5 separate regions of the Mus musculus genome follow, and all the other regions are reported to be linked to region 3. The links are microRNA targets in miRTarBase. Many come from high-throughput screens and were not tested one by one. Region 3 holds a microRNA gene; each other region holds the end of a gene's coding sequence. Distances are from middle to middle.

Region 1 (5,104 bases), not on the chromosome of region 3:
ACTTGCTTTGGAGACCTGAGCAGAGCAAGTGAACCAGCTTCAGACCTCGGCATGCTGGAGTTATCCAAGCCTCACTCAGCCCTAGTGCAGCACTGGAGCTCAGGGATGGGGTGGGGGTGGGGCGCCCTGCTCCTAAGCACTGCCGCCTCCACACAGTGCATCCCAGCAGCTTTGCCTAGCTTGAGAATCAGAGTACCAACTGTGAGGTCAACAGGCCACCTCACTTCTCCAGCAAGGCTTCCCCAGTGGAAAAGAGGTAATGTAGCCAGAACACAGTAGTCACGCTTAATTCCATTTTTCCATCAGCCTCTGATTTTGTGTTTTTCAGGAAGAAGGCATGCAAATACTTTGAACAAGGCAAGGGGACCTGCCCCTTTGGAAGCAAGTGCCTTTACCGTCATGCTTACCCTGATGGGCGGCTGGCAGAGCCAGAGAAACCTCGGAAGCAGCTAAGCTCTGAAGGCACTGTGAGGGTAAGTAGTGGGCATTCCTGGGTGCTTACTGCCCAGGCTCCTAGTAGCTTTGGCAGCAGAACAGGAGTCAGCATAAGCAAAATACAAGCTGGCACTCATCGTCTGCTGCTATCTCCATTGACCCAGGGGTGCTTGTTGGCTGTTTTTGCAGTTCTTTAACTCAGTTCGGCTTTGGGATTTTATCGAGAACCGAGAAACCCGGCAAGTCCCCAGCACTGACGATGTGGATGTGACAGAGCTAGGAGACCTCTTCATGCACCTTTCTGGAGTAGAATCATCAGAACCCTAGTCAGTGCTGACGCCTTCATTTGGCTCTGCAGTCAACTTTCCAAGGCACGGTGTGGACGCATCTGTCACCGACCCGAGGTGACGTGGTACTGGGATGTGAGTGCAGTAGTGAGTCCCCCTGGGAAGGGAAGGGAGATCACCACGTCCACAGAATCACTACATTTAGAGTTGAGCTCTCAGTTGTACCTCCAACCCCTTTCTCCGGGACCAGCTATGTGGTCCAGCTGTTTTAATTGAGTGCTTTTAAATGAAACCTGACTGCCATCTTTCTTTTGTGACTTTCTTCCTTAAGCAACAGTAAACTTGCAGCAGATCTGGTTTTTTTTTTTTTTCCTTGCCAAGACATCGCCAGCCCTGTAGAAGGCTCCTCTGCAGTGATCATCTCTAATAGAGTTGTCGAGCCTTGGAATTGATGCAGCTGTGTAGTGAGAACACATTTGGCCATATTGGTGCTGCTGTACCATAGTGTAGACTTTTACAGCTGTGAGGGTGGCTATTGAGTTCCTTCCAGTGTCTCAAGTCACAGGTGTGTGCAGTTGTGAAGATCTCCAGGGAGACTCCATCTTACCCTCCCCTTGTACTAAGAGCACAAGACACAGGACTCACAGATTGCTTGTTCTCCCCTATAAAGTAGTAGGCTCCACACTTGTTTTTGTGGTAAACAGGAGCAGTCACTCCTCTGTCTAAGAACTGGGGGCAAGAAAGAGCAAATTTGTCCTGAACCTGAATTTATTTTTATAAGAAAACCTGTTATTACCTGTGTGCTTTTCACTTGGTTGTTCATGAACTGCAGAGGGGGCTCCTTGAGTTCTGTCTGCACAAGAAACTGCACTGCAAGTTTTGAAGGAGTCAGTAGCCATTAAACCTAAATTTAATTTATTTTATTAAAATAACATAAGGAACCAACTGTATTGGCTCAATAAAAACAAAATTAAAACCCAAAATCATTAAGAAAACCTGTATTCCTGGCTTTCTTACAGACAAGGATGTGGCTACAGATAGGGTTGGGCCGCGGCCCACCCCATAGGGGCAGCTCCTGGAAGACAGATTCAGCACGTGGGAGGCTGCCAAAGGTGGAGCACCGCGCTTGGAAAGCCATCCACACAGGACACCTTAGACACAGTTTGTCCACAAAGTTCTGTAGTACCAAAGCAGGCTCCCCCAGGTGGCCAGGACTCCATGTGCAAAACTGGCACTGCACCACTGTCCATATAGGCTCAAGGAGCCAAGTTCCCAATTGCATGTCCCTGCAGCAGCCGGAGTGCCCTACCTTCTCCAAGGCCACTTGCCCTACAAATACTCAGCTGACTTGTATACCTCTGGAGCTGAGCAGGCTTTCTTGGTGGACAGCTTCCATTTCCAGGGCAGGAGGGGTAGAAAAGAAGGCAATATGAAGTTAAGGCCCTGTGAGTAGTCTAGGTCCTTAGCAGCAGCAGCTTTTCCAAAAACATGCATTCTGCCCCCAAGGAAACAGAAAGTGGTGCCTGCTGACTCTTCTTCGTCCCCTGGTGGCCTAAGAACAGCTACATCATCAGCTAGAAGACTGGTAGCCTTGGGGATGTAGTCAGCGTGCAAGCATTGATGTCCTCAGTGTGAGCTGCCCGATGCAGGGAAGGCTCAGAGGCGCTCCTGTTGATTTTCGGCAGAGAGTGCTGAAGCAGCTCGATGGAAGACAGGATCTGAAACAAGGCCCCACGTGGTCTCATTAGTTGGAAACTTGGTATCTCCCCAACCATACCAAGAGCTTGTGGAGGTCCTCTCTCCACCGACCCAATCCTGGCCCACATTTACATCCTTAGAATGTTATATTTCAACTGAGCTCTCTAACCTGGGGAAACAAAGGTCTCTCTTCTTTGACTTTCTTCACACAGTCAGCCACCAACCTCTTCATTGCCTTGGGGCAGTTCTTGTAGAGCCTGCTGAGATCAGGGGATGCATACCCACGGCCTACCATGAAGATGATCTAAAGAAGAAACAGTTGAACAAAGGAGTCTGTGAAGGAGAGTCCCAGGACTAAGTAGCCCCTCACTGTGTCGCCCGGCCATGCAGATCACCTGGTCTCGGTTGTTGATGTGGGCGTAGGGAAGCTCCCCAGCCATCAGCTCGTACAGCACGATGCCGTACGAGTACACGTCGGACTGGAAGCTGAACGGGTTGTCATCCTGCATCCGGATTACTTCTGGGGCCTGTAAGGATGAAGTGTGTTAATCCCTAGGGAATGACCTCCAGAGACATTGAGGAACCAGGCTATTTTAACTAGTCAGGAAGGAAGTTCAAGTCCTTAGCCCAGGGTAGCTCCTCCCACAAAACCCCACAGGCGCTGGCCTCTGTTGCTTTGCCAGGATATGCGGTTTTGCCTTAAGCTAACTGACACCACAGATCAACCAGACCCCCATGGCTGTGCAGAAATGCTGTCAAATTTTGCACCCTACTCTGGCCCAGTAATTCCATCATGTTGTGTGGGGCCAGCTTCCTCACCATCCACAGCACAGAGCCAGTGGGCTGTTCAACCTGCTGAGAACCACTCCAGCGTGACTTCACTGTTGCCAAACCAAAATCTCCAATTTTCACCGTGAGGCCTTCATGGAGAAATATATCTCGATGCTTGTTAAGGAGACTGACAGTTTATACTGTTTATAACAGTGCTTCTGGCCTCCTTCACTTCACTACTAAATCTTTCAGGAGACAGGGAACGATGGCATGCGCACACTCAATTACAGGGCCCCACACTGCTTATCCCCTCTGCCTACATTTGGTACTCAGGTTTACCACCCAACTGGTCTACATTGTGACTTCTGTCAGCTTACTGCTAGGTAACAGGCAATTTTGGTCTGATTTGTGACCTGCTGATTTATTGGAATTCAAGCCTTAAATCTTGGCCCAGTGCTTAGCTGCCGAAAAAGAATGACCTCAAGAAAGGAGGTCATGGCCACCGAATAAGCATAGCTCATTGGCCATGCAGAACAGCTGAGTTTAACCACCCTGCCATGTGCCATCTTACAGCATGAAAGGTGCAGTTGGTAAGGAGATGCTATTTCTAACAGTGGCCTCTAGGCTGACTTCTGTACATTTAACAGAAAGTAGCCATTTTGAAATTTCTGGAATTCTGGGATACTGGTTCTAAGATGCTAATTCCAGGAGACCTTAAGAAATATTGTGTCCTTTGAGTTAAAAATAGGAGGTCAGGTGATTAGTGGAATTTTGGTTGAAGTCTGACTCACAATAGTTACAGTGGGCCTTCAAACTGTTTCCCCTGGGAAAAGCTAAATGGAAGCCTTTAGCAGGGTCTCTGCCAGGGATGGGAACCAAAAGTGTCACATCCCTGGCAGAATTGCAGCAATCAGTGCTACCATCAAAGACTTGAAAGATGCAGGGGTGGTGATTCATGGCCAGTACAGAAGACAGATGGACTGTAAAAAGTGACAGGCTATACCAGATGTGGTGTCCTTACTTGAGCAATTAGCATACTTCCTGATATACGATGTGTAGCTACTGACCTAGCAAATGCCTTTTTCTTTGGTATCTGTCCATAAGGACCACCAGAAGCAATTGCTTTTGATTAGAAAGATCAACAGTAAACCTTTAACTCTCCAGCCTTGTGTCATAACTTAGTTTGAAGGGATCTTGTTCATGTCTCTTCTACAAAATATCACATTGGTCTACTATATGGCTGACATTATGCTGGTCTGAAAAGTGAGCAGGAGGCAGCAATCACTTATGACTTGTTGGTATTAGATACATGCATCAGATACTTTCCCATCTGTATGCAGGCTTACACCTTCCATAGGCTCAATAGAAATAGATGCAATAACCTTCTCAAGCTATATTCTGGATAATCTAACCAGGCTGAGTTCAAGTCTATTTCAAGTGTGTATCGCCTCAGAAGGAATTATTTCCAGATCACTGTTGGTTAAAAAAAATAATAATAAAACCTTAAGGAACTCTCATGATCACCATGTTTGGCTTCTCAACTATATTTCTATTTTCCTTTAAAAGTCCCCTTCTCCCCATTCTGGCACCATGAACCATGTGTGCAAAAAGGCCCTTTTGGGTCCTTAAGCTGAGAACTCAATACCAAAGGATACTGTTGGATTTCATGTCTCTGTGGATGATGTTCTTTGCATGCAAATAGCTGTGAAGGAGAAAAATCACTCAGTTAACCACCTCACTGCCCTTCAGCTAACTGGTGGGTAGCACTGTGCTCTGCATATTGAAACTTGGATTTGCTCTGCAAACCAAGCCAGGCATTTCACCTCACATTCTGCCTATCCAAGACAAACCCAGAAGTGGGAAGGCAGATTGTCAGAGGCCGGGGATGGCTGTGAGCTGGATTTTTTTCTGGG
Region 2 (5,104 bases), 82 Mb from region 3:
CTGCGTGTCCACCTCCTCATCCAGCGGCAGCAGCAGCGGCAGCGGCGCCGAGGATGCAGACGACCTCATGTTCGACCTGAGCTTGAATTTCTCCCAGGGCGCGCACAGCGCCTGCGAGCAGCCACTGGGCGCGGGAGCGGCGGGGAACCTGTCCCTGTCGCTGGTGGATAAGGACCTGGATTCCTTCAGCGAGGGCAGCCTGGGTTCCCACTTCGAGTTCCCCGACTACTGCACGCCGGAGCTGAGCGAGATGATCGCGGGGGACTGGCTGGAGGCGAACTTCTCCGACCTGGTGTTCACGTATTGAGAGGCGCAGGGCTCCTCGGGAGGCAGTCGTGGCGGTCAGGATAAAGAGGATGGTGGGGGGAGGGGGAGAAGATGCTCATGGTCAGAGAGATGTGGCGCTGAGAAATTGGAAACGGTGATGAAATGTTGTTGGAGTTAAAGTGAAATGAGTAGTTTTAAACAGATTTTCCAAGTTTTTTTTTTAATTTTTATTTTTAAAAAATTTTTTGGTCTCCCCACTCTTCCCGTCCTTTATCGTGTCTCAAGGTAGTTGCACACCTAGTCTGGAGTTGTGATTTTTTCCCCACCCGTAAAAAAACGTGTTTTGTAATTTCTATTTCTTTTTCCTGAAATTCGTGATTGCAACAAAGGCAGAGGGGACCGGGCGGGGGAGGGGAGGAGGCCCCGCTCCGGAAGGCGCTGTTTGAAGCTTGTGGCTCTTTGAAGTCTGAAAGACATCGGCAGAGGACCCTTTAGACGGCACAACTGTTACTCTAGGGAGTTGATTTTTTTTTCTTAAGAGATTTAAAAAGGAACTGGTGATTTAAAAAAAGAAAAACACAAAAAGGGACCATTGCAACCTTTTTATTTTATTTTCTTTTTTGGAGGGAGAAAGCTGATGTCTTCTATGCATCCGATTTCTTAAACTGCAGGGAGCTTGAAAAAATGCAGTCTGTACAAACGCTTACAAAAATCATAACTGTGAACTGACTTAAGACCAGAGTTTACTTTTCAGATCAAATTGTTTATGGTTTTACAAATGTGATTTCTACTTGGCAACCTTTTTTTGGTAACTCGTTCCCTTATACCTCCTTGATTGAATACCTTACAGCCTAGACCTCAGTACAAAAAGGTATTGAAACATTTTTGATACATAACAGACCTCAATCTTTTTTAAAAATTAATATATTTTCAGGCGTATTTTTGTACAGTGAAAAGGGAACAATCTTGCTGTGTTTTTTCAGTAAGACTTTCAGGCACTTCTTCCCTTTTGATTTCTTTTTCTTTTTTTCTCTTCTTGTTTTTGTTTTTCTTTTTTGTTTGTTTTTTTAGCATGCAAATATGTTGGTACGTTATGTCCTGGTTTAAAAGGATTAAAAATTTAAAAGTAATCCTTGCATCTAAAGGCCTTGTGGTTTAAAAAAAAAAGCAAACTTTTTTGTACAGCTATAGTAGAGATTTGTTCAATATTTGTAGGTAAAGATTTATTGAAAATGGTGACCTAGACCTCAGAGCTGTTCTTAGTTTAAGACTGTATGTACTGTATCATAGTAGGACCTATGTATCTCATCGCTGTGATGTGTGGACGGGGCCCCAGACAGAAGGTTTGAAACTGGATACGCGATTTTTATCAAAAAGAAAAAGGAAAGGCACATAGTTTAAAATTTTCTCATTTTGTGCAATATAATTAAATAAACAGACCATTGCATATTTAGTAGCAAATGGTGGCGAAGCAGACTCAATGCACTGTCGAAGTCACCGCCGGGGTTTTTGGGTTTTTTTGTGTGTGCTGAAGTCTGTGTCTTGATTTTAATAAATCAGCAGGATCGGATAGAAGCTCGCATGGCCCTTAGTCTCTCCCGGGAGCCGCGTGTTCACCGCGCAGCGGACGCGGGTGGCGGAGGGCGGATGCCGCTTTTTGGAGCCCTTAGGCTGCCATAGGTTGCAGCCCGGTGTCCTCCCTTCTCACCCCGCCCTGCGTCTCCATCCCCGCCGTGGGCTTCGCGCTGGTCCGTGCCTGGCGAGTCTGGAGCTAGTGTCCACAGGGCTAGGCCTCCGCTTCTGGCTTTGGGTTTTTTCTGTTGTTGTTGGTTTTTTTTTTTTTTTTTAAATCTCCACCCCCATCCGCGGGCGGCATCGCTGCGCGCGCGCGCGCGCGCTCAATGAGATACGAGTGGAGAGGGCCGCGCCCTTCAGCGTTATCCACGCGGGTGGGGCACGAGGAAAGCAAATGCGCCTAGAGCCGCCTTCACGGTGCAGGATGGCTTTGGTTTCTTTGATGGAGCATTTGCCTCCAGGGGCCCGGTCCAGCCCTCCCCTCCCCCACTGCCCCCTCCCCCCCGCCAGCTTGTCCCTCGTGGTGTCCCGCGCGCAAGCCCAACTCCCCAGGGCCGCGACGCACGCGACCGAGGAGCCCTTCAGCAGTGAATTGAAACTCGGTGCCCAACAGCCCGACTCTAGACCCACAGAAACCATTACGGCGCGGGCGCTGACCGCGGGGACTTGACCAGTAGGGATCCAGGTCGGTGCCCCACGCAAGACAGGCACTGCAGATAGAGAGCTCGCCCTCACGGAGCAGCGCGATCTCATAGCGCGTGGGTGGGGCGGCGACCCGGTGTGGCTTTTTCGGGCTTCCCTCGCCCACCCCTCCCCCACAGCGCCCTGCTGTGAGCCACGCGGGGACCTTTAAGCCGCGAATAATTTCACCAGCGGTTTACTGGGGACAGATTCTGAAGCCTAAGGAAAAGGCATTCTGAGTGTCTTGAGTTCTTAACATTTGCATGTGTTCCCGTTTCCCGTCGGGCGTTTTCCATGGTGAGGAAGGAACTTTTAAATAAATTAGAAAAGGAGTGAGGATCTGGCTTCAGAATGGAAGCATAGCTGCAATTTGTATTTTAAAATTATGTGGCCGAGTTTCTTGGTAGGAAAAGAAGAGACAGTTCTTGGTTGGAGATCAGGAAAAAAAGAAATCTTTTCTTTCTTTCTTTTTTTTTTTTTTTTTTTTTTTTTAAATCCCAGTTAGAACTCAGGAAAGGCGCTTGAATGCGCTTTTAACAATATTTAAAGCGGTTTCGACGAATGCATTGTGAAGACCATTCCCAGTGAACTCTATTGAATGTCTAATACACAAGGTATTCCAGCTACTGGCCAGGCTTCAATAAAAGGTTAGCTGCATTTTTTTTCCTCCTAAGTAAGTCTTATTTTTAACTGAGCATTGACAGTATCTTAAAATGGTAACGTGGGCGTGGGCGTTGTGTGCATAGCAGTCTAGCCGGTTGGGTACCCTGCTCCTGTACCTAGTTCACAGACTCGAGTGCATTTTTTTTTGGCGAGATTTCCATCTTTGAAGAAACAAAAAAACAAAAACACCTGAACCAGCGTTCTCTTATTCTTTAAGCTGTGGAAATAATTTCCAGTTTCTACATTCTCGATATGCATCCTTATTAAAAAGATAATACGAATGAAAGGCAGTGTGCTTAAAGTGTGCTTTGCAAATACATGTTATGAATGACTACGGTCACTGGGCAAATTATTTGTAGAATGATTAGCCTTTAGCTAGAAAAAAAAAATCATTGCAGCTCTTTTGGGCCTGGATGGTTCTTTTTAATGTTAATGGAGGGGAAGTGATTTAAATATGCATGCTCTTAGCAGTCAGGATCTGACTTAGTTGTTTTGAGAGAAAAAAAAATCAAAAGGCAAGGTCTACTTTTTTTCTCTGGGAATTGAAACCACAATCATCTTGATACTAGAACAGTGTAAGAAATGAACATTTGTTCTTCACTTCAGAATTCAAATGAGTTTTGCCCAAGGAATCTGGGAAATAAGGCAAATAAGTTGCTCAATTTTCAAGTAGTCATTCAATAGAAATATACTCCATCACTCGGCTTTCTTATTCTCTGATGGGGTATTCTGTATAGTCTCACTGTTTTCTCCTAATGGGCATATGTATCTTTGTGGACACTTGGAAGAGAGGTTTTCTTGTACTCTCTCATTTCTAGAATCTTTATACTCTTTTTCCTGCAAGGTTCTCTGCTTTTAACAGATTTCTGAGGCAACTATATTTGTGCTTTTTTCTTATGTAGGAAGACCAGCGAAACTAGCTTACTGAGTTGTCGATTTTATCAGTAGATAAAGAAACTTTGTTTATTACAGTTTCAGGGAAGGTTTTTCAGGATATTTCTCAGTTATTCTAAGGGCCAAATTTTATATATAAAAAAAAAAAAACTTCATTAGGAATGTCAGTTTCAGATACCCTTTGTATAGCCTGTGGCCTGCAAGCACGACAGGACTGAGCCTTACATGTGTCCGAACAGGAATTCATAAGTCCCCAAAGTAAACGTCTCCATGTAACGATTCTTGACGTGTTTCTCTGAGAGTTGGCTTATTTTGATTATCAATTCTTTCTCACTGTCCATTCCTATTGATTTATCCTGCCATATCTCTTTGGGTTTGATGAGCTCAACATTTTTTGCTCTTTGATAACAACTCAGGTTTTGGTTTGGGGTTTTTCATGCCCCCTTTGTGTGTTGCTTATGTTTTCCACCACAGTATAAAAGTACTGAAGCCAAGCCACTTCCCATTCATTCCTTTACTGCTGCCTCCCTTTCCCCAACTCCCAACTCCTAACACACCTTCATTTTTTTCCCATCGTCTTCTTCTTCTTCTTTTTTTTTAACACTACCTAGATGCGTTAGCTGCCTGATTAGTTTATCTATTCCATGTGGATGCAGTGAGTTTATAAGAGAATTTCACAAACAAGTAGTTTTTTAGTGAACTTAAACAGAATTTTAAAGGAGACCTATTTTTATACTCAATAAAAGCACAAAACGTGCATAAAATATAGCATGGCGTACAAAGGGAAATCCACTCATAACGTTCCATGTATAGAAGTAATAATTTTCTTGGATAGCGATATTCTTTGAAGACCCAGTGCCTGTCTGCCTGTGCCCAGACAGGGTGGTTTCCACACACTGGGAACTTCCGGTTGCCGGCACTTGACAAACACAGTTCACCACAGCCACAAAGAGCAATAGGTAGGAGCTGAGGTGTGCCTCCTGATGAGCAGTCGGCCACTAGGCAACCTGGATGTGCCCATGTG
Region 3 (5,104 bases):
AGACTAGAAATGCAGAATTGTAGAACACTATAAAGAGGTCTTCTGGGTATCTAAGTTTCAGAACCTTGAACCGGGATTCTAGCTCAAAAATGTTAAGGAGGACCCTCTTTCTAGACTTCTGTGCTTCTGGCATCTGTGCTTCATCAGCAAATGAAAAGTACAGTCTTTGTTCTAGAACATCGTAAAGGGTCCTCTTTCTGGATAATTGGGCATCAAAGATTAGAGGTGGAGCTTAGCTTCTGAACAGAGTGGAGGTCCCCTTTCTAGATATCTGGACATCAGAGAGTGGGGATGGAGTCCAGGTTCTAGTACATTGTGAAAGTTCTTTATGGATGTCTGAACGTCATCAAAGGCTATAGATGGATAGAGTTCTGGGTCTATAACATCATTGAGAATGCTCTTTTCTGGACATCTGTGCTTCATCAAAGGCTGGAGGTAGATTCTTAGGTCTGGAACATCAGAGAGGTCCCTCTTTCAGGACATCTGAGCTTCATCAAAGGCTAGATAGAGGGTCCTAGATCTGGAACATCAGAGAGGGCCATCTTTCTGGACATCTGAGCTTCATCAAAGGCTAGAGAGAGGGTCCTAGATCTGGAACATCAGAGAGGGCCATCTTTCTGGACATCTGAGCTTCATCAAAGGCTAGAGAGAGGGTCCTAGATCTGGAACATCAGAGAGGGCCATCTTTCTGGACATCTGTGCTTCATCAAAGGCTGGAGGTAGATTCTTAGAACTGGAACATCATAGAGGACTCTCTTTCTAGACATCTGAGCTTCATCAATGGCTGGAGGGAGGGTCCTAGATCTGGAACATCAGAGAGGTCCCTCTTTCTGGACATCTGAGCTTCACCAATGGCTGGAGGGAGGGTCCTAGTGCTGGAACATCAGAAAGGTCCCTCTTTCTGGACATCTGAGTTTCATCAAAGGCTGGAGGTAGAGTCTTAGGTCTGGAGCATCAGAGGAGTCCCTCTTTCTGGGCTGGAGGTAGATTCTTAGGTCTGAAACGTTAAAGAGGTCCCACTTTCTGGACATCTGAGCTTCAAAAGCTGGAGGGAGGGTCCTAGTTCTGGAATTCTGAGCTTTATCAAAGACTAAAGGTATAGTTCTCACACTAGTTCTCCCTCAAGAGCATCCATATTTGTGAACATCTGAACATCACTCAAGAATGGAGCCAGAGTCTTAGCTCTAGAGCGACAAAAGAGCCAGTCTTCCTGGATATCTACAGTTCATCAGAGAGAGATTGAGTCTTGATTCTAGAAAATCAAAGAGGTTCCTCTTTTTACACATACAAACTTCACTGGAGACAAACAAGCTAGAGTCCTAGATCAAAATTATCAAGGCGGTCTCTTTTTCTGAGCTTCTTCAAGAACCATCGTTGAGTTATAGTTTTATATTGTCCATTTCTCTGGGACATTTGGGCTTTGTGAGAGACTGGAGGTGGATTCCTGGCGCTAGAAAACTGAACAGTTTCCAGATGTTTATGCTTTGGTGGTGACTGGTCTAGACTATGAAAGACTTCCTTTAGACATAGGAGTTCTCTTAGAGGCTACAGCTGGAGCTTGGCACTAGAATATCAAAGAACTACCTCTTTCTGGTCTTCTGGGCTTGACTGAACACATGAGCGAGAGTTAGAGTCCCAGGTCTAGAACATCACAAAAGAAAGCCCCTCCTTCTTGGTCCCTGAGGTCCATCAGAGGCTGAAGCTGGGCTCTGTGCTCTGACAAATCAAAAGGGCTTACCCTGGATGTCCAGAGTCTGTCAGAGACTGGAGTTGATGTGCTGGCCCAAGGACATGAGCAGACTCCTGAAGCTGGGTATCCTCATCAGAGGCTGGGTTGGGACTCAGGGCTGGACTATAAACACAGAACTCCACTTAGAGACACTGACAAAATGTGAGGCTTGTTTGAAAGCTGGAGATGAGTTATTTTCTTGGGAATATCAAAAAGGTCTTTTTTTTTTTCCTGGACATTTGGGCTCCATCAGAAGCTGAAGTGGAGGCCTTTTCGGTAACGCAGCATTAGGGCACTCACTCTGGAAGCCTGAGTTTCAAAGAGTTCTTCTGGGCTCTTGGACTCTCTCGGCTGGGCTCAGCATCTGGAGGCATGTCTTCTCACGGTTGTCTGCACTGCGACTCAATCACACATGCCAAAGTCCCCATCATGGCTGGTACTGGCTCTTCCAGGCTGGGTCATGCCCAAGTCTTGAAGATGGTGCTCTTGGCAGGGGGTGTTCAGAAGAGCATGCAGCTGCACTTGCCAGGTGCTTCTCGGTGCGAATGAGGAAGTGGGAAAAGGAGGAAAGACAGAAGGGGGGAGAAAGAGAAGGATAGAGGAGGAAAAAAGGAGAGGAGAGAGAAGAAAGGGGAAGATGAAGAATCAAAAGAAAAAGCAAAGACGTGTAGGGAAGAGGCAGAGGAAGAAGAAAAGTCAGAAGAGGAAGGAGAGGAAGAAAAAGGATGAAAAGAGGGAAGAGGAGAGAAGGGGAGGGGTGACGGTGGCGGTGGCAGTGGCAATGCAGCAGTGATCTTAGTAGATGCTGGTCACTGTGTGGCAACTGTGGTCTTGGTAGACATGTGGCAGCTGTAGTGATTATGACTGTCATCTTCCTCTTTGCTGGGGTAATGTTCGTGTTACCATCTGCTCTACCAAAACTCAGCTCCATTTCCCATCCCCTTGCTCCCAATTCCCTCCTCTCAGCTGCTCAGGCAGCCTGACTGTCCCCCCAAGGCCTCTCAAAAGCCATGAGGGTAGGGCTCACCTCCCCAAGCTCAACCAGCATACCTGATGCCAGGCATCATGAATGTCTGAGCACTCACTCAGACCCATTCAGGAACCACTTTTGTAGAAGCTGTGTTGGCCCCAAGTCCCAATGGGACCACCCATCTGGGTCAAGATGACGCCTCAGCTAGGGCCCTGGCATAGCCCCGGGGAGTGTGGAGGGCAAGGGGGGTGCACAGAACTCAGCCCCGGAGCAACATTTTCTCTGGAGCTCCAAGGACCAGAGCTGTGAGCCCCTCAGGCTCCAAAGCCAGACCTCCCACAGCTCTTGCATGGCTTCATTTCCAGAAGGAAACTGGCATCCCGAGCACACGAGGAAAGGGTTCTCCTAAACCCACCGAGCACAGGCCCTTCATCGGGCCCCAGTGTATCCATCTCTTAAGCACACACAGGGCAGCACAAAGGTGACTTTCTGGGGTTTGAGGCAACTCCTCTACCCCACTACACTACAAAAGGAAGCCCCAGCAAGACACCCACCCTCCCTCGTATTAGTAGCACACCCATCACTGCTTTAGTTAAAACAAGAAATTTATTGAAAGCACCATGAGCCACTAGGCCCCATGCTTCTAAGCACATTGCGGCTGCCTCACAACAGCCCTGTGAGGTAGGAACCTGAGCCCATTTCACAGATGTAGACTCAACAGTGAAGACACAACAGCCTTTCTCCCACCCCCCCAAGTCTCAGGGTCCATGGGTAGGGATCAAGGCCACATGCCTGACCCCAGGGTCAGCGCAGTTCATCAGTCAGTAGGTGGGTCTCTCTACTCAAGGGGAGGCCAGGGTCCAGAGTCTTGGGTCCAGCATGTCCCACAGGAAATGTGCAAGGCGTCCCCGTGGCTGTAGAGGCTGAGAGAGACACAGCTGCAGATGAAGCCATCTGCTCCCCATCCCCATGGCAGATAAAGAGTTTTCATGCACTAGGCAGGGTAGGAACTGGAGGGGGCAACCCAGCCCTGTGCTCAGAAAGCCTGAGCTATGTAGAAGGCCCAACTTCTGGACAGCCATGGGGGTGGGGCAACACCTACACACCAGCTCCTGACTTTTCCAATAAATAAAAACCTATTCTAGGATTTTCCATCTTTCTCATACCACCCCCAAGACTTCTAGCCAATTCACAGTCTATTAAACCTTGGTGGTTTTCCAAAGACTTTGGCCTTGCCCTCCTAGAGGGGTGTTCTTAATAGTCTTCCTGGTCTTGTATCTCAGAGCCTCCCATCAAAACTGCTGAATCCTAACATTTGAAAGCAAGGCTTTCTATGTCGCTCCAGAGCTGGGTAGGTGCTACCCTCCTGCCCTCCACTCTGTCCGAGTCTCACATGGACCTGAAGTTTCAGAAACTAAGGTACATCTGTACCCAGGGCCCACCTCCACAACAGTCAGTATGGGTTAGCAGACATGAGCACCTGCATACCAAGCAACAAAACACTCGTTTTCACACACACACAAAAAAAACCTCACTGAATCCCCCAATCAAACCAGGTTGGTTTGACTATTTCTAGGATATGGCAAACAGCCAAGGCCACCACACGTTCCACAAGGGACAAGGATGACCAGAACTCAGACCTTGATTCTCATGAGCCACCATATGATGGGCAGTCACTAATGACACCCTTTGTACAGGAAGAGAAACTAAGGCTGGGGATGATTCAGGCAAGCTGCTCAAGGTTCAGTTGGAAGAAAAACAAAAAACAAAAACAGGTCTGATGCCCAAATGGGTAAGACCCTGGGAACCCCTCCCCCACCCATGTGCCTACGGAGCACTCTGTAGAAAAGAAGAATTCAAGGGGTCCAATCTCCCCAGTCTGCCAGGTGCTTGAGGCTGTACCCAAATCTCACAGGTAACTTCTAAGTCAGTGCTGATTGTCACCAATGGTGGGAACAAAGGCTTTGGGGGCGAAATAATCTCCTTTCACCCAGAGAGAGGGGCCTCGGTGATGATATGGGCACAGCCAAGTCCACCTTAGAATTTGGGAACTGCCAAACAACTCCTTTTCAGGATCACTCAGGTCAAAATGTCAATGAGGACATTTTAGCTCTCAGAAAGTTTTATTCTGGACATAATATCTCCAAAGCAGTGTTTCTACCAGGAAGGGTGTCCTGTAGCTGACTAGATCCTGGGGAAAGTCCTTAAAGACCTCCTAGTCACCGGCCTATCCACATTCACTTAGCCTTCCCTACTTCATCATGGAGCAAGTATTAGGTGCCCACTACTTCAAGAGGCAGGGTGACATTGAGTTGGAGCAAGCCTAGAGCTTAGTCACAATCTAAGCATTCCCTTTTTGCCAGGCCCCTGGCTTCCCTTTCTTTACTTCCAAGAGACATAAGCTA
Region 4 (5,104 bases), not on the chromosome of region 3:
CAAAGCTCCATTGCTGAAGACAATATTTACACAACTCACTGAACATAGAGAAGTTGAGTTGGTACCAACATATAGATTCCAACCCTCTATTCTAGTTGTCTCTACTACAGGAACATACTCAGCACACTATCAAAAACCAAACCAAACCAAATCAAACCAAACCAAACCAAACCAAACCAAACAAAAATACCAAGGCAGCCACAAACACTTTGATCTACAATGGTGTCCTGCCTGCAAGATATATTATTGCAATGGTAGCACAAAGCCTGTGGGAGTAACCAACCAATAACTGATTTGACTAAAGAAATAGAACCCACACCCAACTATGCTTGGGTGAGCAAGAACCAGAGACTAGATAGTCCAGGGACCTAGGGTAAATCCAAATACTAGTCTTAATCAAAAGAAACCAACCAATCAACCAACCAACCAACCAACCAACCAACCAACCAACCAACGAAACAACCAACCAACCGCACCAACCACCTCCCTAGAAAACACCTATTCTGCTATATTCGTAGAGCAGTTCTTTGTCCAGCCATGGGAGATGCTTCTTCCTGCATTAGATGGCAAATACAAAGGCTCATAGCCAGGTGTGCAGAGACTGAGAGACCTTGGTACACTCAGCACTAAATGGGGCGTCTCCATCAAATACCTCCCTTCAGAGCTCAGGAAACCCAGAGAAAGAGGGAGGAGACAGAGTGTAAGATCTAGAGGGGATGGGGATCAAGAAATCAGTAAAAAAACCAAGACCCTCTAAGTCAACATGAGCAAAGCTCACACGAACTCACATAGACTGAGGCAGCATGCATAGGACCTGTGCATCAGGTCCTCTGTGTATATATTATGGTTTCCTGTTTAGTGTTTTTATGAGATTCCTGAGTGTGCAAATGAGTGAATGGGTCTCTGTGATTTCTGTGCCTTCTCTTGGGCTCTTTTCTTTTGCAGGTTTGTCCTGTTAAACTTAGATGTGATAATTTTGTTTTATCTTAAACTATCTCTTAGAGCCCATTCTTTTCTAATAGACAGAAAGGGAGGAGATCTGGATTGGAGGGGAGAAGTTGGGAGAAGTAGAGGGAAACCATAATTAGGATATATTATATAAGAAAATATCCTATTTAAAATAAAAGGAAAAAAATAGAGAGAGAGAAGAGAAAAATCCCAGTATAAAAGGCAAGGAGACAGAGTGTAGCAGTATGCCTTCTTTCTGCCCCGTGGTTGTACTGGCCTTTCCCCCCTTCTACTGTAATTCTTCAGCACATAACTTTTGTAAGTTTTTCTATTGAATTGCTTTAATTGTAGGCATATGAGTGTGTACACACACATGCCATGGTATATGTGTGGAGGTCAGAAGACAACTTTCATGATTCTGTTCTCTTCTCCTATCATGTGGGTACTCAGGTCATTAGACTTGACAGCTTCCTAACCTGCTAAGCCATCTCATCAGGCAAGGTCTCTGTTTTAATACTATCATCTCTAACATTCCCCACACCTCAGTCAATAATTTACTCACAAAGGAAAGACACTTCCAATTTTATTAATAACCAACATTTTTATTAGGGCAGTTACAGTTGTACAAACTGTACATTATACATTTTGGTTTCAAGGATTATAAATTAAGGAACCCACCAGTAGGGAGGTGGTTTTTTTTTTTTTCACAGAAAGAAACTTTAAATAAACAAAGTCATGTTTTATTAAGTACATTGGCAGACTTCACGTGCTGTCCAAAATGTAGAGTACAGTATAACAACCCATTAGAAAGATCCTTCATGGAAAATACAACTGTGCACATTTTAGAAAAATACCCACAATTTGAGCATTGTTTTAAAAAAGCTTATAAATCATATATATTTATAAATGTAGCCAACAAGCTCACTTCATAAACATCTTTTAGTTCTCTGTTGCCCATTATTTTCAAAGCATTACACATTTAAATAAACACTTAATAATATTAAATAGTCTATTTTCTTAAAAAACAACAACAACAACAACAACAACAACAAAAACAAAAAACCCAGCCTTCCCAGCATAAGGAGCTACAGGGGAGGAAGGGGCAGGGAGACTGTGGGGACGACAGAGGAACTTAGCTTGCTCTTGAGTAAAAATGGACTCCCTAAATTTAAAAGTCAAAGCAAAATGTAAAAAATAAATATACAAGTTGTAATTTGATTTTTATTTGCTCTCTTTCTGCCTTCTTCCTTAATCCATACTGGTCATACCCTAAAGTCTCAATATATCGCCCTTCTGGAGAAGCCACTGCTGGCTTACTATCCAGAAGGTGATGAAGCACTCAGTCCTCCCCTGTGCTGCCAGTGGAGTGACACGCACTGTCCCTTCTGCTCTGCAAAGGCTCCTAAGGGAGAGACTCGGCTGACACCATGACACCATGGACAAAAGTTAGGAAGACTTCCCCCTCCACCAGGTAATGCCTTTAAGAGACTCAGACATACCTTTCCTACCCTGATTTCTTTTTAAATAATTATTTTTTATAAAGATCATGTAGTTTCCCTAAGTAAGCATGCTTCTGAATAAATTATTTAATAGAAAAAAATCAATATCAGAATGATATAGGACAGCAAAAGACAAATATTTAAAATAAAACCGTCTAAGTCTTTAAAATTTAATATAGAATTACAAAACAACTTTGAAAAACATTGAAGGCAGAGAAGGGGCAGTGACTTAACAAAGCTTAAACACCTGAAGGCATTCAACCAAAATTCGCGTTGGGGGTGGGGTGGAGAAAGAGAAGAGTAGCTATTAATAGATCTTGCTTAACTTTCATGGGAATTAATAGAGCCACTGACAAGATTTTATTTGGTTGTAACGTACGTCAGCAATGAAACTGAACCCGTAACCACTGATTACTGCAATCCAAGCAACATTTTGACTTCACTTCTTAGTATTCGGTTGTCTGTCCTTCAGCTTTTAAAACTTAACACCTCCTGAGTGCATCAACAACTCACCTCAATGATGTTAAAAATATTTAAAATTAAATTATTTCTTTGGAAGGTATAATACCATCAGATCACTATATTTTAAAGATAAGTAACCCTTTATTGGTTTAAAAAGAATAAACAACATGAAAACAATGCATTGCTATTAAAATAAACACTATATATACATACATACATACATTTTATATATATATATATATATATATGTATATATAGATATATATAGATATAAACTAGTCTTTTGTTGCTGCTTTTCCAGTGTGTTCTCATCCAGCCAGGACTGCAGGTGGAAGATGACATACATCATATTTAAATCAACAGCAGAAATGAGCAGAGTCGTGCACAAGCAAATGAAACATTCCCTTCCAGAACATTCCAGGAGATGTTAAAGCAGCAGGTCACAGCAGAAGACTGCTGAGTGACGGTGCTACCTACTTCTAATGAGATAGGAGTGAATGTTGGAGCCACGCCCACCGCAACACAATCCTCAGACTGCATTCCTCTGGCAGTCCTCTCTCTCCAGCTCCCTACTAAAAAAACGTCAGATGGTAAAATAGTAAGGCAGCTGTTGACTTCTATCAAAAAAAAAAAAAAAAATCTGCAGGTCCATACATTTCCAGTTTAGTCACATTCTGCTAGGACAGATGGAGTAGCCAACGTCGAGAACTTCGCCGGATGGGGCTGCTTCAGCAGAGTTTTAAAAAGTTTTAAAAAGAATCATTATTAAGTTTTGCTTTTCACCATGCTGGGTGCTTCAGCTCTCAGAGGACCCCAAAGACACAAAGCATTGCTGGGGGACGTGAAAGGTCCTCTGGCTGAATTTTCCAAGTTTCATCTCTCTTGTGATCCCATCCCGATCTAAGCGTCCTTGCCTGTGTCTGAGTCGGACTGGGATGTGGACACCAAGGCAGAACTGTGGGCTAACTCTACTAGTTGTCATGACTTCACTGATGAGTCGAAACAGTTATAGCAGTTAAGTAACCATACTGAGTCACATTCAAAATTAAAGTGAGGGACAATGCCATTGTTTAAAAGAAATTGTAAATTGGAATTAGAGAAAACGATATTACTATGATTATGTGTAGAAATTAAGGCTATGCTTACCTGTCCTAATTCCAATCAAGTCAGAAAGTGAACAAAAAGAATGGCCAACCCAATATTCAACAGCATGACCAGGACAATCATGATGGAATTAGGGCCCTAAGGAGAAACAGAACAGAGCAAGCACAACGTTTTCATGTCAGTATGGCTGCTTGACAGAAACCCATCACCAGAACCAATTAGCAGAAATATAAGCATAAAAACATTGTGGCAGAAACTAAGGCATGAAAGATAATCCATAAGGAATGAATTAAGAATAGTAATGCTACATTTACATGGTGTCACCATCTAACTTCCACTTAAAATTAGATTTGAATTAAATTAAAAAAATGGCTTCAAGTTGGGTGAGGTGGCACACACCTTTAACCTTGGCACTCTGAGTCTGAAGTCAACCTGGTCTACATGGTGAGTTCTAGACTAGCAGGGCTACATAATGAGACCCCTCAGTATTTTTTTTTTCTGTAATAATGTACTTTATTCATCTCTCACACTGGGACAGGTCACTGGTAAGGAGCTGGGAGGTAGTGGGATTCCATTGTCCTTAGAAAGTGAAAGAGTCAGAAAAGAAGAGTAGCCCCTCATCAAGGCTGTTAGAAAATAATGAAAGCAGGGGATTTCATTCTTCCAAGGAAGGATTCAGAACACTCGGGGAGGTGCTTTTATTTTAATAGGGTATCATGTAGCCTAGACCAGCCTTGAACTCATTATGTAGGTGAGATGACTCTGAATTTATGATCCTCCTTTCTGGGCTTCCTACTGTGTTGGGATACAGGTATACAATACCATTCCTGGTTTATGCAGCGCAGGGGACTAAATTCAGAGCTTTGTGCATGCTAGGGAAATACTCTACCAACTGAGTTACAGGTTCAGCCCTCAGCTTAACTCTTGCTTTTTTTTTTTTTTTTTTTTTTTCTGGGTCTTTTTCTGGGTTCTACTCCCTCCTTCCTACAAATAGGAAGTTGAATACTTACAGAGACATACATTTTTTTCAGGTCTAACTCTTTGTTTCTTGAATCATAACCAAACCACTCTAGACTCAAGCATATTAAACC
Region 5 (5,104 bases), not on the chromosome of region 3:
ACGCGGAGCGCCGAGGGGAGCGTGTCCCGGGCCGGTTGGTACGCGAGGTGGGTTTTCGGGGAGCCCCCACCCCCATATCCTGCAGTGTAGTCGGCTCCCGGCCACTCACTTCCGGCGAGAGGCCGAGCGTGCTCTGGATTCGGCCGCGGGATGTGGGCGCAAGCTTGGCACGCCGGTTGCTCGCTTCCCGGGTCCGGGGCTCAGCGACCGCGGCTTTCGTGTCATTTCCTCAGGAGGCACCATGTTCCTCACCGCTGTCCTCCTCCGCGGCCGCATTCCGGGCAGGCAGTGGATCGGGAAGCACCGGCGGCCGCGTACCGTGTCTTTCCAAGCGAAGGAGAGCATGATCCGTCGCCTGGAGGTGGAGGCCGAGAACCACTACTGGCTCAGCATGCCCTACATGACAGCAGAGCAGGAGTGCGGCCACGCCGCGGAGCGACGGGCCCAGGCTTTTGAAGCCATCAAGGCAGCGGCCACTTCCAAGTTCCCTAAGCATAGATACATTGCAGACCAGCTAGACCATCTCAACATCTCGAAGAAATGGTCCTAACCCTTCAAGATTATGGATACCGGACTGCTCTATCCTTACTTGGTCCTGGAGCTGAGAAAATGTAATTTATGTACCAGTGTGACCCCTTCGACCAGTATCTTATTAAAGCAAACATGATTGATTAATAGTTGTCTCATACGGAATACTTGGGACCCTACCTAGGCGTTTGTTTCACACCTGTAATCCCAACATTAAGAGGTGGAGGCAGGAAAATCTTTGCTGATGTAGTTAGTAAGACCTAGACTCAGAAGGCCAAAAGAGACTGTTTGAGGCTCCATATGTGCATAATCGGTCTATTTTCAGGGTTGTTTTTTATTTTTTCTGGCCTAAAGCTTGCAGCAGCCCTCCCTGTGCCTAGCTACTGGAATTACAGGCATGGTTCCCTGCCCTTCTGTAAAATGTGGGGTTTTTTTTTTTTTTGTTTGTCTCACTATATAGCCATAGAACTTGCTGTATAGGCTAGGCTGGCCTTGACCTCCGAGATCTACTGGCCTCTGCCTCCCAAGTGCTGTGACTAAAGGCAAGTGCCACCATACCTTGCACCTTTTAGATTTAAATGCTGTAAAACTACAAACTGATGAGTCTTAAGGCTGAGGTACTTGGCTAGAGCTTTGTTGTACAAGGGGTGTTTTCTTACTTTCTGTCTAGGATAGCCATTCTCAACCTGTTGGGCATGACCCCTTGTGGTGGTTGCAGAACCCTTTCATGAGGCTGAGTATCAGAGATTTGTATTATGATAACAGCAAAATTACAGTTGTGAAGTAACAATGAAAATAATGTTATGGTTGGAGTCACCACAACATGAGGAACTGTATTAAAGAGTGTAAGGGAGGTTGAGAACCACTGCTCTAGAATAGAGCCTGCCTTTGATTTCACAGCATTCTGTAAGTGGAAGTAGGATCTGAAGTGTTAGGTCAACTTCCATGCAAATTTGAGGCCAGCCTGAGATAGATGAGACCATTTCCCAAAAGAAGAGTGTTTTCTTTTAGAATTTGGATTCTGTGAGTGGACGTGTGAAGTAAAGATGTTTACTAGAACTGTTAACAGGAAAATTTCTGTTTGTTTGGTTTTTTGAGCTCGTCTATATTGCCCACCTTAGCCTGGAACTCCTAAATGGATACAAACAGTGCAATTTTTTTTTAAAGTTTGTTTAAAAACACCGTTTTTGGTTTTTTGTTTTTTTTTTTAATGTTGTTGGTTTGTTTTTCAAGACAGGTTTTCTCTGTGTGGCCCTAGATGTTGTCAGACTCACTCTGTAGACCAGGCTGGCCTCAAACTCATAGAGAACTGCCTTCCTCTTGCCTCTTAAGTGCTGGAATAAAGGTGTGTACCACCACCACCTGTGCACACAACTTTTTTGAGTAGGTCTGTGTAGGTTGTTGAACTTATGGACTGAATTGATCCTCCTGACCGAGTCTCCCGAGTTTCTGGGTCTACAGATGCAGAGCAACTTGGGATTTTTTTATTATTAATATATTTTTTTTGATTTTTCAAGACAGGGTTTCTCTGTATAGTATTATTTTTTTAATACAGATCTTACTGTATAGTCTTGGCCTCAAATTTAGATGGGCACCGATCTCTGTCTCCCTAGTGCTATATACTACCATACCCAATCCTTTTTAATCTTTTGAGTTGGTGATTTCATAAAGTTACCAAGAGAAAAAAGTACAAGTCCATTGTAACTATAACCAAGTAACATTTTTCCTCTAACCATATCAAAACCTAGAAATTGCTATACTCTGTAGAGCTTTGCATATGCACCCATGTTTATGTGTACAAGTCTACTTAGTTGTCATATAACCATGGTTCCATTGCTATAGCATCCTTCATTCTCTTTGTAGAAACCTGACTTCCCCACTATTGTTCATCTCTGTTTTTGGGAAGAAGGATCTGTAAGTAAAATAATTTATATTGGCTTTTTAAAAATGCATAATGTAATTTATTTCCTTTGCCATCCATTCTGGTGGTTACATTTTTCAACGATTTGAACTTCCTTTTTTTAAATGTGTAGCCCAGGCTGGCCTTGAAGTCAGTGATCCTCCTGCCTCTTCCCCTCAATTGCTGGGATTGTAAGTATGCACCACCATGCCTAGCAAACTTGCTTGTTGACTGCATTAGTGTATCATGGGCCTTTTTGTGAATCTATACAGATCCCATATTTCTATTACATGCACAATAATATAGATATGCCTGTTAACATCTATTGGTAATGGACATTTATTTTTTTTTCTCCAATAAACCTTGCTGTCAAGCATGTCAGTATACATGCATTCTTAATGACTACAGTGTGTGGAACAGTCTTAAAAGTGGTAATGAATCCTTTGTACACTGCCACTGTCAAAATGGTGTCCATTAATACTGTACCACTTTATGCTCAGCAGTAACACAGAAGATACTAGTGAATTTGTTTCTTGCTGTACTGTTTATGGTAGCAAAATTAAACAGTGAAAGAAGAATAAAGTATGATCCAGAGACTGCTGACCTACAAATAGTCACTGTCCTCCAGTGCTGGGATTATAGGAGTTTTTTCAAACTGTACTTCCAGCACACACAAAACATCTCCAAAACTTTGAAAGGGCTACATGATACAGGCATCACTTTCATTTGAAAAGGTTGAAGCCAGGCGGTGAGGGTGCACACTTAATCCCAGCACTTGGGAGGGAGAAGCAGACAGATCCCTGAGTTCAAGGCCAGCCTGGTTTACAGAGTGAGTTCCAGGACAGGCAGGGCTAGCTGTCTGCTTGCTTACCATGTGCAAAGGCCCAGGCTGGAGGCCTAGAACAGGAAAAAGACTAAACAAAAAAGCCAAGAAAAGGCTGCTGGTAGCTAGTTTACTCTATGTCCAGGCTCACTAAGAAATGATGAATCTTCCAAATACATGGCTTTTACTGCCAGTGGTCAAATGAAGTAAGTCATAAACCAAGGTTTTCTGGTTAAGTTTTTATTTTTCCCCCTTGAGACAGTCTCATTATATGGCTCAAAATGAATTTGAGCAACCCTGCATCAAGTCCCCAAGTGCTGGGGTTACAGTTGTGAGCTACCACTTCTTACTCCATGCCCATATCCCAGAGCTCACAGCAGTCTTGGTTTCCCTCACTGGCCACCCAGCATTTTGTCACCTCAGGCCTCCCTTACCAGGGAAGCTAGGGCCTATTCCTGCTGCTCATCCATTCTCGGGAAGGCACTCAATAGCTGCCATTTTCCCAAGGATGTACTTCATTTGTTTTTTTTGTTATGTAGTCCTGGCTGGAACTTACTATGTAGGCCAGGCTGGCCTTGAACTCATAAAAGTCCAGGTATTTACCTCCCAAGTGCTGGGATTAAAGGCCTGTCCACCACACCTGGGGAGTGCTCCAATTTCGACTCTACAAAATCTTTTAATGGCTTCTTGGTGTCTCGAGTGTAACAGACATAGGTCTTCCTCATTTACTGCTTTGTAAAAAGCTCTCCAAACAACTAGCTTTCTCTATCATTCCTGTATAAATTCCTTCAGGTATTGATAATTCAGAGGTTGCATCTCAGGGCTGCATTTCATCAATGCTTGTTTTTTTGTTTGTTTGTTTTTTGTTGTTTTGGTTTTTTGAGACAGGGTTTCTCTGCATAGCCCTAGCTGTCCTGGAACTCACTTTGTAGACCAGGCTGGCCTCGAACTCAGAAATCCACCTGCCTCTGCCTCCCGAGTGCTGGGATTAAAGGTGTGCGCCACCACACCCGGCTATCAATGCTTAAGTCTTCATATACTCAAAATGTTTTCCTTTGATTACTACCATAACAATTTAGCTAATTTTTGGACTATTTATTACATTTGTGTGTTTACACATGCACAAGCTACTGTGCACATTTGGCTTCCTGAAACCAAACCCAGGATTTCAGCTTGGAGGCAACTGCCTTTACTTCAGAGCTATCTTGCTGGCCTAGACGTTTTAAAATAACCGAAAGCCCTGTAGAATGTATGGGCTATGTGAAAAAGGCAGTGTCTCCTCACAGGTCGCTCAATGGTCTAGCATCTTGTCACCATTGATACAGACCAAGACCAATTTTTTTTTTTAAACCAACATAGGCACCTGGTAGAAGAGTATAAAAAGAAGTGGCAGCTCTCAACTCGAAGCTCTCTTAGGGGTTGGTCAAGCATGTTTTAGACACATCACACAAACAGTAGTGGAGTCAGACACACAGCACTTCAGTCTTTTGTGGCTTCTAACAGTACTGTAGAGGTTTCTTTTTTCCTTTTAGGGGAGACAATGCATTACCACAAATTTCAAATCCGAGTTTCACACATTTGAGGAAACTGCAGGGGTCAGCACATACAGATGGCAATGGATAAGCCTCACCTTGGGAAAACCATCTTCATGATCATGGTAAAAACTCTCTGCCAGATAAGTATATGTAATGAATATTCTTATGAAGTACAACTCCTGAAGATAAGAAAGAACTAAAGAATGACCACTGCCAAACCTATCTGCTCTGCCAAGACTACTAAAGGCACTAAAACATTAAACTCTGACCCTTTAAAATTATTTTTAATTGTGTGTTGTGTGTGTGGGCATATGCACA

The links. The annotated mature microRNA mmu-miR-673-5p reads CUCACAGCUCUGGUCCUUGGAG and lies in region 3 at 2,988-3,009, opposite strand. An mRNA with a match to its seed (bases 2 to 7 or 8) in the 3' UTR can be bound and repressed. Matches are read on the target gene's strand: a 7mer-m8 pairs with bases 2 to 8, a 7mer-A1 pairs with bases 2 to 7 and ends in A, and an 8mer does both.
Region 1: miRTarBase lists Mkrn2 as a target of mmu-miR-673-5p. Seed matches in the 3' UTR shown: 7mer-m8 at 1,242-1,248.
Region 2: miRTarBase lists Sox11 as a target of mmu-miR-673-5p. Seed matches in the 3' UTR shown: 7mer-A1 at 986-992, 7mer-m8 at 1,578-1,584 and 7mer-m8 at 2,670-2,676.
Region 4: miRTarBase lists Jph1 as a target of mmu-miR-673-5p. Seed matches in the 3' UTR shown: 7mer-m8 at 3,350-3,356 and 7mer-A1 at 1,652-1,658.
Region 5: miRTarBase lists Mrpl57 as a target of mmu-miR-673-5p. Seed matches in the 3' UTR shown: 7mer-m8 at 1,058-1,064.

The regions. Positions count from the first base shown.
Region 1 is chr6:115,616,970-115,622,073 of GRCm38, forward strand. Mkrn2 (makorin, ring finger protein, 2) reads left to right here. Exons shown (of 8, transcript NM_023290.3): 7 at 329-473; 8 at 625-1,701. The coding sequence ends at 762. It overlaps Raf1 (v-raf-leukemia viral oncogene 1), which reads right to left. Exons shown (of 17, transcript NM_029780.4): 13 at 4,847-4,893; 14 at 3,240-3,358; 15 at 2,816-2,947; 16 at 2,590-2,724; 17 at 1,600-2,440. The coding sequence ends at 2,297. Among named protein-coding and RNA genes, the nearest start is that of Mkrn2, 18 kb to the left of the region's middle.
Region 2 is chr12:27,336,424-27,341,527 of GRCm38, reverse strand. It overlaps Sox11 (SRY (sex determining region Y)-box 11), which reads left to right. Exons shown (of 1, transcript NM_009234.6): 1 at 1-5,104. The coding sequence ends at 307. Among named protein-coding and RNA genes, the nearest start is that of Sox11, 3.7 kb to the left of the region's middle.
Region 3 is chr12:109,569,909-109,575,012 of GRCm38, reverse strand. Mir673 (microRNA 673) reads right to left here and starts at 3,023; the gene lies at 2,933-3,023. It overlaps Meg3 (maternally expressed 3), which reads right to left. Exons shown (of 10, transcript NR_027652.1): 10 at 3,284-3,622. It also overlaps a transcript of Rtl1 not described here.
Region 4 is chr1:16,993,409-16,998,512 of GRCm38, forward strand. Jph1 (junctophilin 1) reads right to left here. Exons shown (of 5, transcript NM_020604.2): 5 at 1,530-4,151. The coding sequence ends at 4,071. Among named protein-coding and RNA genes, the nearest start is that of Gm46085, 100 kb to the right of the region's middle.
Region 5 is chr14:57,826,276-57,831,379 of GRCm38, forward strand. It overlaps Mrpl57 (mitochondrial ribosomal protein L57), which reads left to right. Exons shown (of 2, transcript NM_026401.2): 1 at 1-47; 2 at 234-2,470. The coding sequence starts at 242. The coding sequence ends at 550. It also overlaps a transcript of Ska3 not described here and the pseudogene Gm22738. Among named protein-coding and RNA genes, the nearest start is that of Mrpl57, 2.6 kb to the left of the region's middle.